2 linked regions of the Tamandua tetradactyla genome follow. The main gene of each other region encodes a partner of the protein of the gene in region 2 in a complex. Links are inferred from orthologs where the notes say so. Each region holds a gene or a part of one and is shown on either strand. Other genes may lie near its edges.

Region 1 (6,325 bases), on a different chromosome or scaffold from region 2:
GGAGACAGGTCTGTCAAAAAGGTGTTCCTTTTGCTAAATTAAAGGTGGTCTTCTCGGAACGGCAGAGTAAGGTTAACTCCTTCTCTCCATTACAACCCTTGAGACACCTGGGAACACCTGTACACCATGACAAGAAAATACCCTGCAGGGCTTCAAACACACCTCAGGAGCCTCCAGACTCCTCACTAGCCACCTCACTCCAGAAGAGTCCTTGTCTCTAGAGGGACAGAAACCAGTCCTGGTGGTAAGGAGAGGGGAGAAGAGGAAAAGGGAAAAACTCACCCTCCCACCTTCCAGGGACTGGCAAAGGCAGCTCTCCTTCGTGTTTTCTGCTTCTTGCCTTCACGGTTCTGTCCTGGGTGGAAGGAGCAAACAGAGGAAAAGCGGCTCACACAAAGATGAGAAGACAGGAAGCTGCAGAGACAGGAGAAGAGAGGGAACCACCGAATAGCAAAAAGCCAAAGTGATCCCACCTTCTTAGAGAGAAGCTAGGAGGAAAAGTCTAAGACCCGTTGCCCAGCCAGAGAAAGGTTTAGTCCCAGAAGCTGGGGGACTGCTGGCTCCCTTCTTCACCCAAACGGACCCACGCAAAGGAGCATGCATGCCATCTCCCAGGGTCCACCCCTCCACACCCTAGTACTTCTTTTCCACATGCTACCTCGGAGCCAGTGGTTCACAACTGGGAGTGACTCTGCTCTCCAAGGTACATGTGGCAATGTCTGGAGACATTTTTGGCTGTCACAACTGAGGGATTGCTACTGGCATCTCATGGGCAGAGGCCAGGGATGCTGCTAAAACAACAGCCAGGTGGGCCCTGGCAACCACTGTGGAATGACTGAGTGTACCACTGCTGAGAAATCACCTCCATGCTACGAGCACAGGGAAAGCCTACTCTGTGCTTGGGAAGGATGGAAGATGAGAAAGCAAACTGACTCTGGCTCATTCTCCCCTCTAAACAGCAAAGAAACCATTCCCTAACTACACTGTCTTGTGAGAGAAATCCAAATCCAGAAATCCTGCCAGGAGAAAAATCCTTGAGAGAATCGACCAAAACAAGCAAACAAATAACGTGTCCCAAGCTTTTGTATCACAAACTCTCAGAGGCAAGCATTTGGACCCTTCCCTGCGCACGAAAGAGCTGGAGGCACGGACTAAGGGCTGAACGCAATATCCTTGCCTTCCACTTCCAGGCCTACGAGCGGAACACAACTTTCTCACCTTCAATTTTCCTGGCTACCTGATTAAAAGGGCTCCTTCTCACAGGCCTCCTCCAGCTAACCCATCGCCCCCTCAGCCTATCTCCTCTCCATGATGCCTCCCCACCTTCTCTTTCTTGGGCCTCAGTCTACCTTCACTTCCCCAGCACCTGGCTTACTGCTGCTAAAAGGCTGCCCCCTGCTGGAGACTGGAGAGAGGTACACACTGGTCCTCTGCATTCACACCAGGTGTGGGGGAACAGGAAGAGAGGCTGTTTTGGGGGTTCAGAACTCATGGGAGAAGGAAAAGATGCAGAGACAGGCAGTGCCAGCAGACACTAAGTAACGAACATTACTTCCTCATGCCACACCCCTAAAATTAGCCCTAATCCAGGGCAATGTCCCTTGGCACAGAGGGTACCACCATCAGCAGTAGTCCCCAATTTCCCCGATCCCAGGTCTGCCAGAGGGGCCTTAGCCCTTTCTCAGGATGAAAAGATTCTCCAAGCATGACAGGGCCTGAACTCGGAGGCTTAAGGGAATATAAACCTGTGCTCTTCCCAGCTGGCCCCAACTCTACAGGCTCAACCATCATGACAATGCCACTTGGCATTTACATGCTGTGTAAGTTTTCAACACCCTTGCATTCCTTATCTCATCTAAGCCCTCCTGCCCACTTGGCTACTCTTGGGCTCCAGCTGGGGGAAACAAGGAAGGGGAGTTGAAGCAGCCCTAACAGGGTACCCCGACTTCCCTCAAAAACGCTATGCCAGCCTGGAGAAAAGGATCACACATCAACACAAACCATCCCAAGCTCAAGGCCATACTTCGTGAGTTTTAAGCCATTTTTGTTTTGTTAGATATCTGTAAGCCTTCCTACAGCCTCCTCTCTCCTTTAAAATCTCTAAAATAGGGCTATATTCTTAACCCCGAACTTTAATGACAGACATCAAAATGAGGCCAATCTGGGGTCCTGCACCCATGAAATCACAAAGGACGCAAATGCATCCGCTGCCTGGAAATGCTCGTGGAGAAATCCCAGGACAAGACTCATGCAACCATATCATGACGTGGGATGCTCAGGGCTGCGGTTCCCAAGCAGTGCTGGGACACAAGGTCCTGCCCAATTACATGATGGCAACAGGGGACCAGGACTGACAGCGAGGAAATAAAACTGGAGCCAGGCTGGAGGGGAGGAGGCCTGGGCCTGCAAGGGGAACGGGAGAGATGGGAAACAGCCAGAGACCAAAACTGCCACGTTGTGTGGGGCCCATGGGGACTGACTGGCCTACTGGTGCTGATGGTGTTTCAGTGGTAAAGGTGAGCAGTATGGGGTAGGGAGGGGAGGACAGGTTAAGTGGAAAGAGCTCCCAGAGGGCCCGCAGCCGATGCAGATGAGCTTTGGGAAAGCAGCACTTTGAGAAGTCAGAGGGGAGCCAGACTGGGGTGGGTGGAGGCAAGAAGCAGCCACAGGTATTTCTTCAGAATCTACGATGGGACATCCCTGCAAGCTGGCATGGAATTTCTAACAACGACTGGGTAAAAGGCGAAAGAGAGGAAAAGCTCCTTGAAGATCCTTGGCGTTAAATAAAAAGAAAGAAAGAAAGAAAAAAAGGCCAAGCCTAAGGGGCTGTGGCTAGGAGCTGCTGTAATGGGGGGGAGGGGGGCGGGGAGGTTGCACAGTTTGGGAGGGTGGACGACGGAGCCTGGCTTGGTGGAATCAAAGCCCCGGCCGCCCCTGCTCAGCCCAGCCAACAGGGAGAGGGGGCGACCCCAATGACCAAGCATTAACGCCGCTCGCCGACAGGAAATTTAGGGGGAGAGGCAGCCGAGGTGCTCTGGCTAACGGGAGAGGCCTCCAGCTTGGCCCAAGTCACGGAATGCTTGGACTGAACGACCCGCCAGCCCCAGCCAAGTCCGCCGAGAGCCCCGGAGAGGGCGGGTTGGGGGGACCGTCTCGGGACTCGGACACTGGGGTCGCAGCGCCCTCGGCGCGCGGGGGTGGTGGGGGGAGAAGCTGCGGCCCCCAGAGCAGGGCTGGGGATGGGCCCGAAGGGGCGACCGTTAGGAGCGCGGGGGTGGGTCGGAGGCGGGCCGGCCCCGGAGGACAACGTGCCCTTCAGGGAGGGGGCGCCAGGTGCGCGGGCCGGGGGGCGGCGGGCGGGCGCCTCCCCCCCGCCATGGGGCCCTGGCCGCGGGCTCGGGCCGCTCTCGGGGCGGCGGGGAGGGCCCGGGAGGGCGGACGCACCGGGCGGCGGCGCCTCGGGGAGGAGACCGGGGAGGGTCCGCGCCGGCGGCCCGCGCTCTGCCTCGGGCTCTCGCCGCTCGGCGCGGCCGTCTCGGTGTCGGGGGCGGGCCGGCCGCAGGCCCGGCTGCGGGCCGGGGTCCGCGGAACTGCCGGGCGCTTACCGCGGGCGGGCGGGCGGGCGGCGCGAGGCTCGGGTCCCGGGGAGGGGGCGGCGGGCCGGGGGCGGCGGCGGCGGCGGCGGCGGGGGAGGGGGCGCTGCGCTCCCGCGGTGGCCGCTCCTCTCTGTTTGTGTTTGTAGCAAGATGGCTGCCCGCCTCGCACCACGTGACGCGGACGCGGGGACGCGGGGCCGCCCCCTCCGCCGCCGCCGGCTCCCTCCGCGCCGCGGGCCCCTCACGGCCCCCGGGCGCTCCCCGCGAACCCCGCGGGGCGCGGCACCGACGCCTGCCGCCCCCGGAACCCTGGGCACGTGACCGGGGAGCCCGGCTCGTCACGTGACGCGGGGCGGGGGCGGGGGGGATGTCCCCGGGGTTAGTCCTGCGCTCCCCGCGCTGGCCCCCGGCACGTGACGCGCGGCGGGCGGGACGGAGGTCGTGGCTCTAGTGGCATCTTGGGCTTCTCCTGGCCGGGCGGCTTCCTTCGGGAAGCCCTCCTGGATTGAAGGAGGCGAAGTAAAAGCGGGAAGCGTTCCTTATACGTCCGGGGCTGTATGGGATAAGCGCAGGACCTGGGATTTAGGAACTGTTCCAGGCGGCCCCGGCCTGGGAGACCTAGAGTTCAGATTGCCCCAGTCGCCCATTAGCCTCTACACTGCAGGCGCATGAGGTGATGCTTTCGAGCCTCAGTTTCTCTTCTTTAGAAGGGTCTTCAATGCTCTTCTCCCCGTTCCCTGCCCCCACCTCCTTCTCTCATGGCGGTGAGAACCAAAGCAGGTGAATATGAAAGACTTTGAAAAGAAGTAAATCACCCTGCGGATGTGAGACATTAGACTGAAGCCTCCTTTGTTTCTGAGTCGCTGAAACTTTTAGGTTGGCAAAGTTGCGTGTTCCCCCATTCCCTTTCGAAGTCATTCCAGAATGTAACACTCTGCTTCCCTGCTTCCTAAAGCAGCTGTTACCAAAGCCATATGCAGTGTTCCTCACTGCTCCCAGGTAAGTTCACGACTGGAAAGTTGAGCCCTAGTGTATGGTGCCCTAGCAGAGCCGCGTGGAAGGCCCTTTATTCCCGCACCACGTACCCTCAAGGGTTTTGTGCATTTGGAGCTTTAGCGTTGACTCCCCGCCCACCCCGGTCCTGTTGGGCTTCTTGTGGTCAGGATTCTTGCTTGCTCCCAGGCTGGAAAATGCAGTGGCTGAGAAAGTAAGAGCCTGTGCTGCTTCCATCCCTTACTGACTGTGGCTTTAAACTTGTGGGTGGCCCAGGGCAGGCACCCCACAAATGTCAGCTAGTAGAAATTCCTGGTTCAACATGACCAGGAAACACACAATATTCAAGAATTAACACTGTATGAAAATGTAGCAACAGAATCCAAGCTTGGGTGAGAACTCTCCTGGAAGATAACCCCACGACAGCTGTTTTTTCTAACTCAGCAGCTTTTGGTGGCGGTGGTAGTGGTTGATTGTTTACCTTTCTGTATTGGAGCTGTGTTCCGGAGGCTGAACGAGTGAGCTCTTAAGTGTGTTTTAACAGTTTGTAAGGAAATGTGAGATTGCAGGATATGGTGGGGAAATGGAGGTGGAAGCACTCGGATGCTGGTGGCATGAGTGGATCTGGAGGGAAGTACAGATTTAGGAAAAGTGGACATAGGTTTGTGAATAGCAACACGCTGTGCTGACCAGAGAAGACTTAGATTGGGAGTTGGATGAGACGTGAAGTGAAACCTCAGTTGGGGACCTGGAGTTCCGATTGACCCGGCTACCGACTAGCTCCTACGCCTCAGGCGCCAGTCTGATCAACACAGATCAAAAAGTCTGTTTTGATCTGAGAGTAGCACTCGTTGTAGATGTAGCATGTCAAGGAGGGCACTCTGGGCTTTCCAGGTAAGAAGACCACAGTGATCCCTTAGGATCCTCCATGTCTCCTGGTGAGTCCTTTTGTCTCCCCTGACAGTACAGAGCGGGCACGCTGCTGCCTATGACATTGTGGAAACTGAGTCGTGTAAGCCCCCTCTTTGAGAGAAGCTAGGAAATCAGGATTGTGAATCTGCCAGACAGAATTAAGGAAAAGGATGATGAAGAAGCCATTTAGATCTAAAATACTTTCATTTATTCAGGCGCTATGCTGCAGTAAAATGTCTTGGTCTGTACTGTTTTAAATTTGCGAGGGTTTGAACTAAACAAAGAGATTTGGCTGGATGATTAATTGAGCTGAAAGGGATGTCTGGGGGAAACCAAGGTTGCCCTTTTTTCTCAATGGTAGAGTCCCCTGTGGTAAGGTGGAGAGAGATAAAGGCGCTATTGTTGTCAGATTGGTTTATTACAGAGCCTGGCTTCACCACCTCAACTTGCAGCTTTTCTGTTTACCTGGATGTCATAGTGAGTAAAATCTGCTTTAGCTATCAGGCAAAGACACACGCCCTGAGTAATGTGGTGAGAGTTCATAAACTGGGCTTATTGTTAATTATTTTAGACATAATGGACCTTAAAATTAATTTATTGCATTCACAATTACTTCCTGCCATGAGCCAAGTTCTTTGGTCGACCTACATTATGGAAGTTGCAGTGCTATTTCCACTATTTGAAACAGTCCCTCTGTATTTACTGTATTTACCCCTCCTACAGAGGTTGCCGTAAAAGTGCTGCAGACAGCTTAATAACCTGAAACGGTGTGTTTTCTTCATATTTCGACACTCCCCACTTCAAGGGGTCAAAGCAAGGGCAGA
Region 2 (6,325 bases):
GGCAGGTTTTACACCCAGAACCCAAAGAAAAGGTACTCTTTATTATTCTCTAGAGTAGTGGTTCTCAAAATTCTCCAGAGTAGTGGCATCAAAATCAGCTGGAGGGCTTGTAAAACCAAAGCCTCCTGGGCTCCATCCCCAGAATTTCTGACTCAATAGGTCTGGGTTGGATCATAGAAGCTGCATTTCTAATGAGCTCCCAGTTAATGCTTGATGCTGCTGGTCCAGGAACCACAGTTTGAGAATCACTGAGCTACTTCACCCTTTCTCTCCACCCACCCCCAATGAAGTAATTGCTGCAATATCCATGGAGAAGTGCATGGCTTAAGCAGTGTTTTTCTCCTTAAACCCTTCTACAAATGTGGCTCTTTGGACATTTTAAGACAGAGTTTCCATAGATAATTCTCCCAGCTCTTCCTTGAACTGAGCCCAAATCTGTCTCCAACACCTTCTACCCGTGGACCTGGGTTGGCCTCCAAGTTCCTCAAAGAATATATCTCTGCCTATTTGTACATAGCAGCTCTTTAAAGATTTGAAGAGGGCCATCATCTGCTGCCTGCTTCTGCTCTGCAGCAACCTCTTCAGCACTTTCATTCTGCTCCTTCACTCATTGTGCAAAGATGGGAAGTCTGCCATCAACGACTGCTTCCTCTCCGAGAAAGACTAAAAATTGTCAATGCTTTCTTTCAAACCATAATGTCTAGAAGTGGACATAGTGCCCCAAAGGGGGTCTCACCAGCTTGAAGAACAGTCTTTTGAAAGACTGTATTTCTTAAATGGACCATTTTACACCTTTAGTCGCCTTGAGCATGTGGTCACTTGCAATGAGATCTTTTTGCATGAGCTATGTCCAGCCAGGATAACTCCATCCTGGCCTTAACTAGTTGACTTTTAAAATAAAGGGCAACATTAGCATTTAATCCTCCCAAACATCATTTTATTTAGTTTTGCCCATCTTTATAGATTGTAAGCAAATGCCTTAGTGATAAGGAGGCAGGGCATGACAGACCATAAGTATGAACTTTCCCATTTCAGTTTTGCCAGGGGTCATAATTCATACTTTATTTAGTCTAAACAGCCACTAATAAATGGATCTTAGTTTCTGCATTCTCCACACGCATGGCCATCACCTGCCTTAATGTTTCCCAGTCAGCTCTGGTTTCAAACATTCTTTCTATTGCCACAAATCCACAAGCCAAACCCTGGATCTAATTTGGGGGTCAGAAAATGTGGTCTATATAACTTTGCCTTTTCTCCAGGTATTAAATATAGTTTAAGATAATTGGAGACAGAATTATTTTACTGGTTTAAGCTGAGGGAGAGGGCTAGTAAAGGGAATCAGAGGTTGAGAGGCTAAAGTCACAAGTTCAATGTCAAGGAAAAATACTAAATAATAAGAGTTCCATTTCTTAAAAAGTGAAGTTCTGTTTATCACAATTCTTGATCCATCCAGATAGTCAACTCTTCATTTTTATCTAAAAACTTTCTTAGCAGATGTTGCATATTTTGAAGCTATTATTATGCACACACTCCTGGAGCCCCTACCTTTAGGAAATACAAGATGCAGCTTCTTTGCAGTCAGGAATTAATGTAAATAAAATGTTCGGTAGAAAAGGCAGAAACTTCGATGTCAGCTCTGCCTGGCTTGAGGTCTTTCTAAGTTATGTAGGCTTTCGCGAAGGGAAATACATCACACAGACATTTGAAGATGACTTTAGAGAGATTTGTGAATCTGAGTATGAGAAGGTTCAAAACGCTGCAACAAGGAAGGCGTGCACCGAGCTTACGAGATCCTGAAGAGAGAGAGCGGGGAATTTGTTGTCTCTTTCATCCACAGACGTTTCAAAGCACGACACATGTGGTAACAAAATGCATTGTGAAATAAGTAGTGTGATGGTATCTCTTCTTTAAGATGGGGACACGTAGGCAGAGAATGGCCAACAACTTTCAGGCAGCCCCGCTGCACCTCCGCGTTACGAACAGGAGGGCGAACCTGCGCTCACGACTTTTCAAATTAAACCCTGCGCGTGACCTTACCTAGGAGTAATGAATAATATATATGGAAGAGGAGCGGCGGAATGGAGGAGCACCGAGGGTACGCGGCGATCAGAGCGCCGGGCTTCAGCCACGCCCGTCTGTTGGCAGGGCGGGGGTGGGGTGTTTGCGTTCCGGGGAAAACGGATGGCCTCTCCCGGGATCTGCTTCGCAGCGAGGCTTGTTTGGCTCGCGACGGGGAACTCCCTGGGGAGCGGCTGCCCGGAGGGACGGGCGTGGTGGGGGGCGCCGCGAGAAGGATGCTCCGGGAACCGGGCTGGCGTGCGTACGCGTGAGTGCACGGTGGGGAGGGTGCAGGGCGTGTGATCGGCCCGGGCGGGATGCGCACCGGTACGGACGCTGCCGGGTGAAAACGCCGCGCAAGACTCGGCTCGGCGGTTTGCGAGGGGCATCGGGTGAGGGGACGGTCCTGAAGACCTGGGCGCACGCCTCATTCGTCCCACGCTGTACCGTAGCACGTAGAGATAGGGAGGGGAGACGGCGACAGGACAAACGCGAGTCCCCATGCACCCCCGGGAGGACCGGGACCAGTGCGCGACCAGTGCGCGCCCAGCGCGGTCTGGAGAACTACAGCGCGGACGGGTATTAAGAGAGAAGGAGGAGGCGTGGCCCGGCCGAGAGGACCCAATGGGCTGGTGAGGGGCGCGCGGGGGCGGAGCTCGAGCGCAGAGCGCCGGTTGGCCGGATCGCCCTCTGGTATGCAGATGCGGCGGGGTCACGTGTCAGGGGCCCGGACGACTTCCTGTTCACGGCCACCGCGGGGCGGGGAAGGGGGCGCGAGCGCCCCGTCTGGCTGGAGCGGGGGGAGGGGGGGTTCTTGTCAGTTAGAGCAACAAAATGGCCGCGGTGGCAGCTCAGCACCTCAGCGCGACGGCCCCGGGAGCCGCAGCCGCCGCCGCCCGCGCCGCCGCCCCGCAGCCCTGAGCGCCGCCGCGTCCGCCCTCCGCTGCCCCTGACAGGCCAGTGCCCGCGCCCGCCGTGCTGCTGCAGACGCTGCGGGCCCGCCCGAGCCGCCGGCAGAGGGAGCGGAGCCGGCCCCGCGCCGAGCGCGCCCGCAGCCGCCGCCGCTACCCCCACCCGGGACCCGGGGCCGCCTCGGAGCCGCCGTCCCGCCGGCCGGTGCGAGGAGCCGGGCGCGTCGCGGCGTCGCCGGGCTCGGACCTGGACCTGCCGGGACGCGCCGCCGCCCACCCGCCCGCGCCGCCGCCGCCCGCGCGGGGACCTGAGCCCGCGGCGCCGGGGCTGAGCGGACTCCCGCCGCCCGAGCGCCCCCGAGGCCTTTGGGTGGTCTCCGCCGCCGCCAGGCCCTCGCCGCCCTTGCCGCCGGAGCCCCGCCGAGGAGCTGCCGTCGCCGCCGCCGCCGGGGACGGAGCCCAGGTGAGCGGGCGCGCGGGAGCCCGGGCCGCGGGCACCTCCTCTCGCCGCAACTTTGCCAAAGATGTTCGCGTTCCCTTTGTTCGACCCGTGCGGAGCGGGAGGCGGCCCCCACCCGGAGCGCCGGTGGAGTAGGGGCGATCCCCCCGCCGCCCCGGACGCGCGCGGGCGCCCGCGAGGCGCCTGGGGACCGTTGTCCCCGCCCGGCTTGCCGGCACGCAGGGGGCTCTCGGAGCGCGCGCCGGCGCCTGGTTGATCCCGGATGCCACCGCTATCCGCGATGGCACCGGCGGACCCTGACCCAGGGCTCCCGGGACGTTTGGGTGCATATGTGTATATATATATATATATTTTAAGAGAGATTTGGCAGATGTTTAAGTGTAATTCGAGTCAAACGTGATTGGAATTGATGGTTTGAAAATAGATCCGTTCCCCTCCCCCCCTTTTAAAAACTGATGCAGTTGGTGAAATTCAGTTCTCCCTCTGAGCCGTAACCCACAGCTCTTGCGTTTCTGATGGCATGCCCGAATCCAAAGCATTTTAGGTTTAGGAGCTCCTTCCGGTACTGTTGTTTGGGGGGAGGAGGGCGGGGGTGGAATTCAGGGCGTCCTTTGAGCGATGCCTAAAGGCCGTTTGCTTTCTGCTGGTCTGAAATCAGGTGAATTTCTAACGGGGCTGCAGACTGCGGAGTAATGCGTATGAGAAAAATGAGCCCTACAACATCTGCCCTGCTATCAGATAACGTAACCCGAGCGTCTCATTTCCACCTCTGCTTTAAGCGACGCCTCATTTGCACCTTTACCTTTGGATGAGATTTAATTAATTGATTCATAGCTATTAAAATGTGCATATATGAATATAGGGGTTCTCAGCGTTAACCTGGCGAGGAAACAATTCGCTACCATGTGAAACCGAGCTTGAGGAATCTTACCAAAGATGAAGGATTGCTTCCTCGAGGTTATGTTGGGGGCTGGGGGAGGAGGGCCACTAGATCTCCGTTGCACCCATTGCATTTTAAGGTATTTGAGGGTGTAAGTGATTCTAGACGTCATGAGTTGAATGGTCTCAAACCTTTGCCTCTGTCAGATTAAACCTCCATTTGAGTGGTCTGCTCGGTGTTTTCTAGGCATGAACTGCAGATTCTGAACTCAAAATGGTGCTCTGTAGATGTCCAACTTAAGCCTCTTTTAAGGAATTTCAAGTTGGAAGCTTCTGATTGCCTAATCCATTGTGCTGCCGAGGGTTGGTTTTCCTCCAGGATTTGGCGTGCACATCCAGGCACTTCTGCCAGGATAGGTGGTCAGTTTATAATTTTCACTGCCTTTCTGCGTGTATTTTATGAAGTTATTTCTTACGTTGAGAATTGAATAACTGGGGATGAGTTGAGGCGCTGGAACTGTGCTGCAGGGAATTTCAGGGGACAGTGGTGGCTAGGTTGATCTGTGTAGGAGTTGCTGACGAGTGTAGGCATGCATTCCAGACTTCTACTGAGTGAAGAAGCCAGTGACAAGACTTAGCCGTCAGCTAGATGAACTTGGCTGGCAGAGGGCACCTTGACGGAATTTACATTATTCCAGAAGAACCGAGGTGGTGATGGTCCTTGACCACCTTTCAATATGATACCCCTAGGATGCTTTGTGGGGGGAAGTGATGCAAATTGAGGTTTTAAAAATGACAAATTCAGTTATATTGTCTGAATTAATTTTGTTGTTATGCTAACAGAGCATCATAATGGTCTGAGTTGCTGTTTCTTTGTTTACCTTTATCGAAAATTTTAATATTTGTATTTTCATAAGAATAAAGAAACTTTGGGTCACGAGAAATTGATAGTCCAGAAAATGGTAATGGTCAGATGATTGGCTAAGTTAAATTATACTTATGGCGGTAAAGACTCATTTCTTAAAGGCAGCACTTCCTCACGCCGGGAAATGGTATTAGGGCCCAGGTGTATATAATGCTAAGATATTAAGATTTGATTTTATTATGAGGATCTAGTTGAAAAGGCTTATTTTGACTCTTTATTTGCATATTTCTTATCCATACCAAAGACATTATTGACCTGTACCTCAGTTTTACTATTAAAGAATGAAATTAAATGAAATTGGTGCTGAAGTTATAGAGCTTAATCCTATTTCACTTTGGAGTCTGACATTTAAATAAATATTCTGGAAAAAAAAATCTGCTAGTGCTCTGGGGGTACATGTAAATTTTGATTTCAGATTTTATTCCTTATTTGTTTTCTCTCCTTTTTAAAGTGGCAGGTTTAATGCTTTTGCAAAGATTATTTTGTAACATGTTTTTATCTATATTCAGTTGGCTCAGGAATTTGGAATAAATAGTTGCCATTAGAGTGCTGATTATGAGGGGAAGGTGGGATAAATTGTTTCATTTGATTCTCCCTGATTAAAAAATAACTACATTGCAGAGGAGTGTATGAAACAGTATTTCCCACCACCACCACTTTTTGGTTAAACAGCTGGCTTTGCAAAGATAAATTTCTGCTTTTCCAAATACTGTCATCTGGCTCACTTCCAAAACCAAGCTGGAGGAGGAGGCCAAGGGTGGAGTAGGACAGCCTTCTTCCTTAGTGGAAAGAAATGGAAGATAAAATTCCTGTGTCCTGGCTGAGAGTGGGGTTTGTATTGCTTCCTGCCCCCATGCTAGGGGGATAAGTCCTAAATGTAAACTTGCTCTTCCTGGGCACAAGAAAGTGATGCTAGTTTTAATTTTAAAGGAAGATTACCAGTGTGAGTTGGTATATTTATCCATTATTTGAGTATTTAGAACCTTCGTAGTATCCATGAAACTTCCCTAACAACTTACCGTTTCAAGGTTTTAAGGCTCTTTATTTTAAAGGCCATTGATAGATCCTTTTGACCTTCCCCAGTAGGAAATG

The links.
Region 1: the proteins of TNRC6C (region 2) and GIGYF1 are in contact, whole or in part, in a crystal structure (PDB 7RUQ), measured with the Homo sapiens proteins. The link is inferred for Tamandua tetradactyla from reciprocal best matches to the Homo sapiens genes TNRC6C and GIGYF1. Residues at the interface, in NP_001136112.2 of Homo sapiens: Arg1719, Pro1720, Pro1721, Pro1722, Gly1723, Leu1724, Thr1725; in NP_001362694.1 of Homo sapiens: Tyr479, Asp481, Pro482, Gln487, Phe490, Trp498, Tyr503, Phe504, Leu508.

What each region holds. Positions count from the first base shown.
Region 1 is NC_135349.1:8,770,809-8,777,133, forward strand, and holds the start of GIGYF1 (GRB10-interacting GYF protein 1), read right to left. Parts: upstream 3,622-6,325; 5' UTR 3,606-3,621; intron 3,334-3,605; exon of another isoform or gene 3,241-3,333; intron 2,820-3,240; exon of another isoform or gene 356-2,819; 5' UTR 283-355; intron 1-282. UniProt on the Homo sapiens protein: May act cooperatively with GRB10 to regulate tyrosine kinase receptor signaling. May increase IGF1 receptor phosphorylation under IGF1 stimulation as well as phosphorylation of IRS1 and SHC1.
Region 2 is NC_135332.1:70,317,477-70,323,801, forward strand, and holds the start of TNRC6C (trinucleotide repeat-containing gene 6C protein), read left to right. Parts: upstream 1-1,920; 5' UTR 1,921-2,078; coding exon 2,079-2,095; intron 2,096-3,339; exon of another isoform or gene 3,340-3,432; intron 3,433-6,325. UniProt on the Homo sapiens protein: Plays a role in RNA-mediated gene silencing by micro-RNAs (miRNAs). Required for miRNA-dependent translational repression of complementary mRNAs by argonaute family proteins.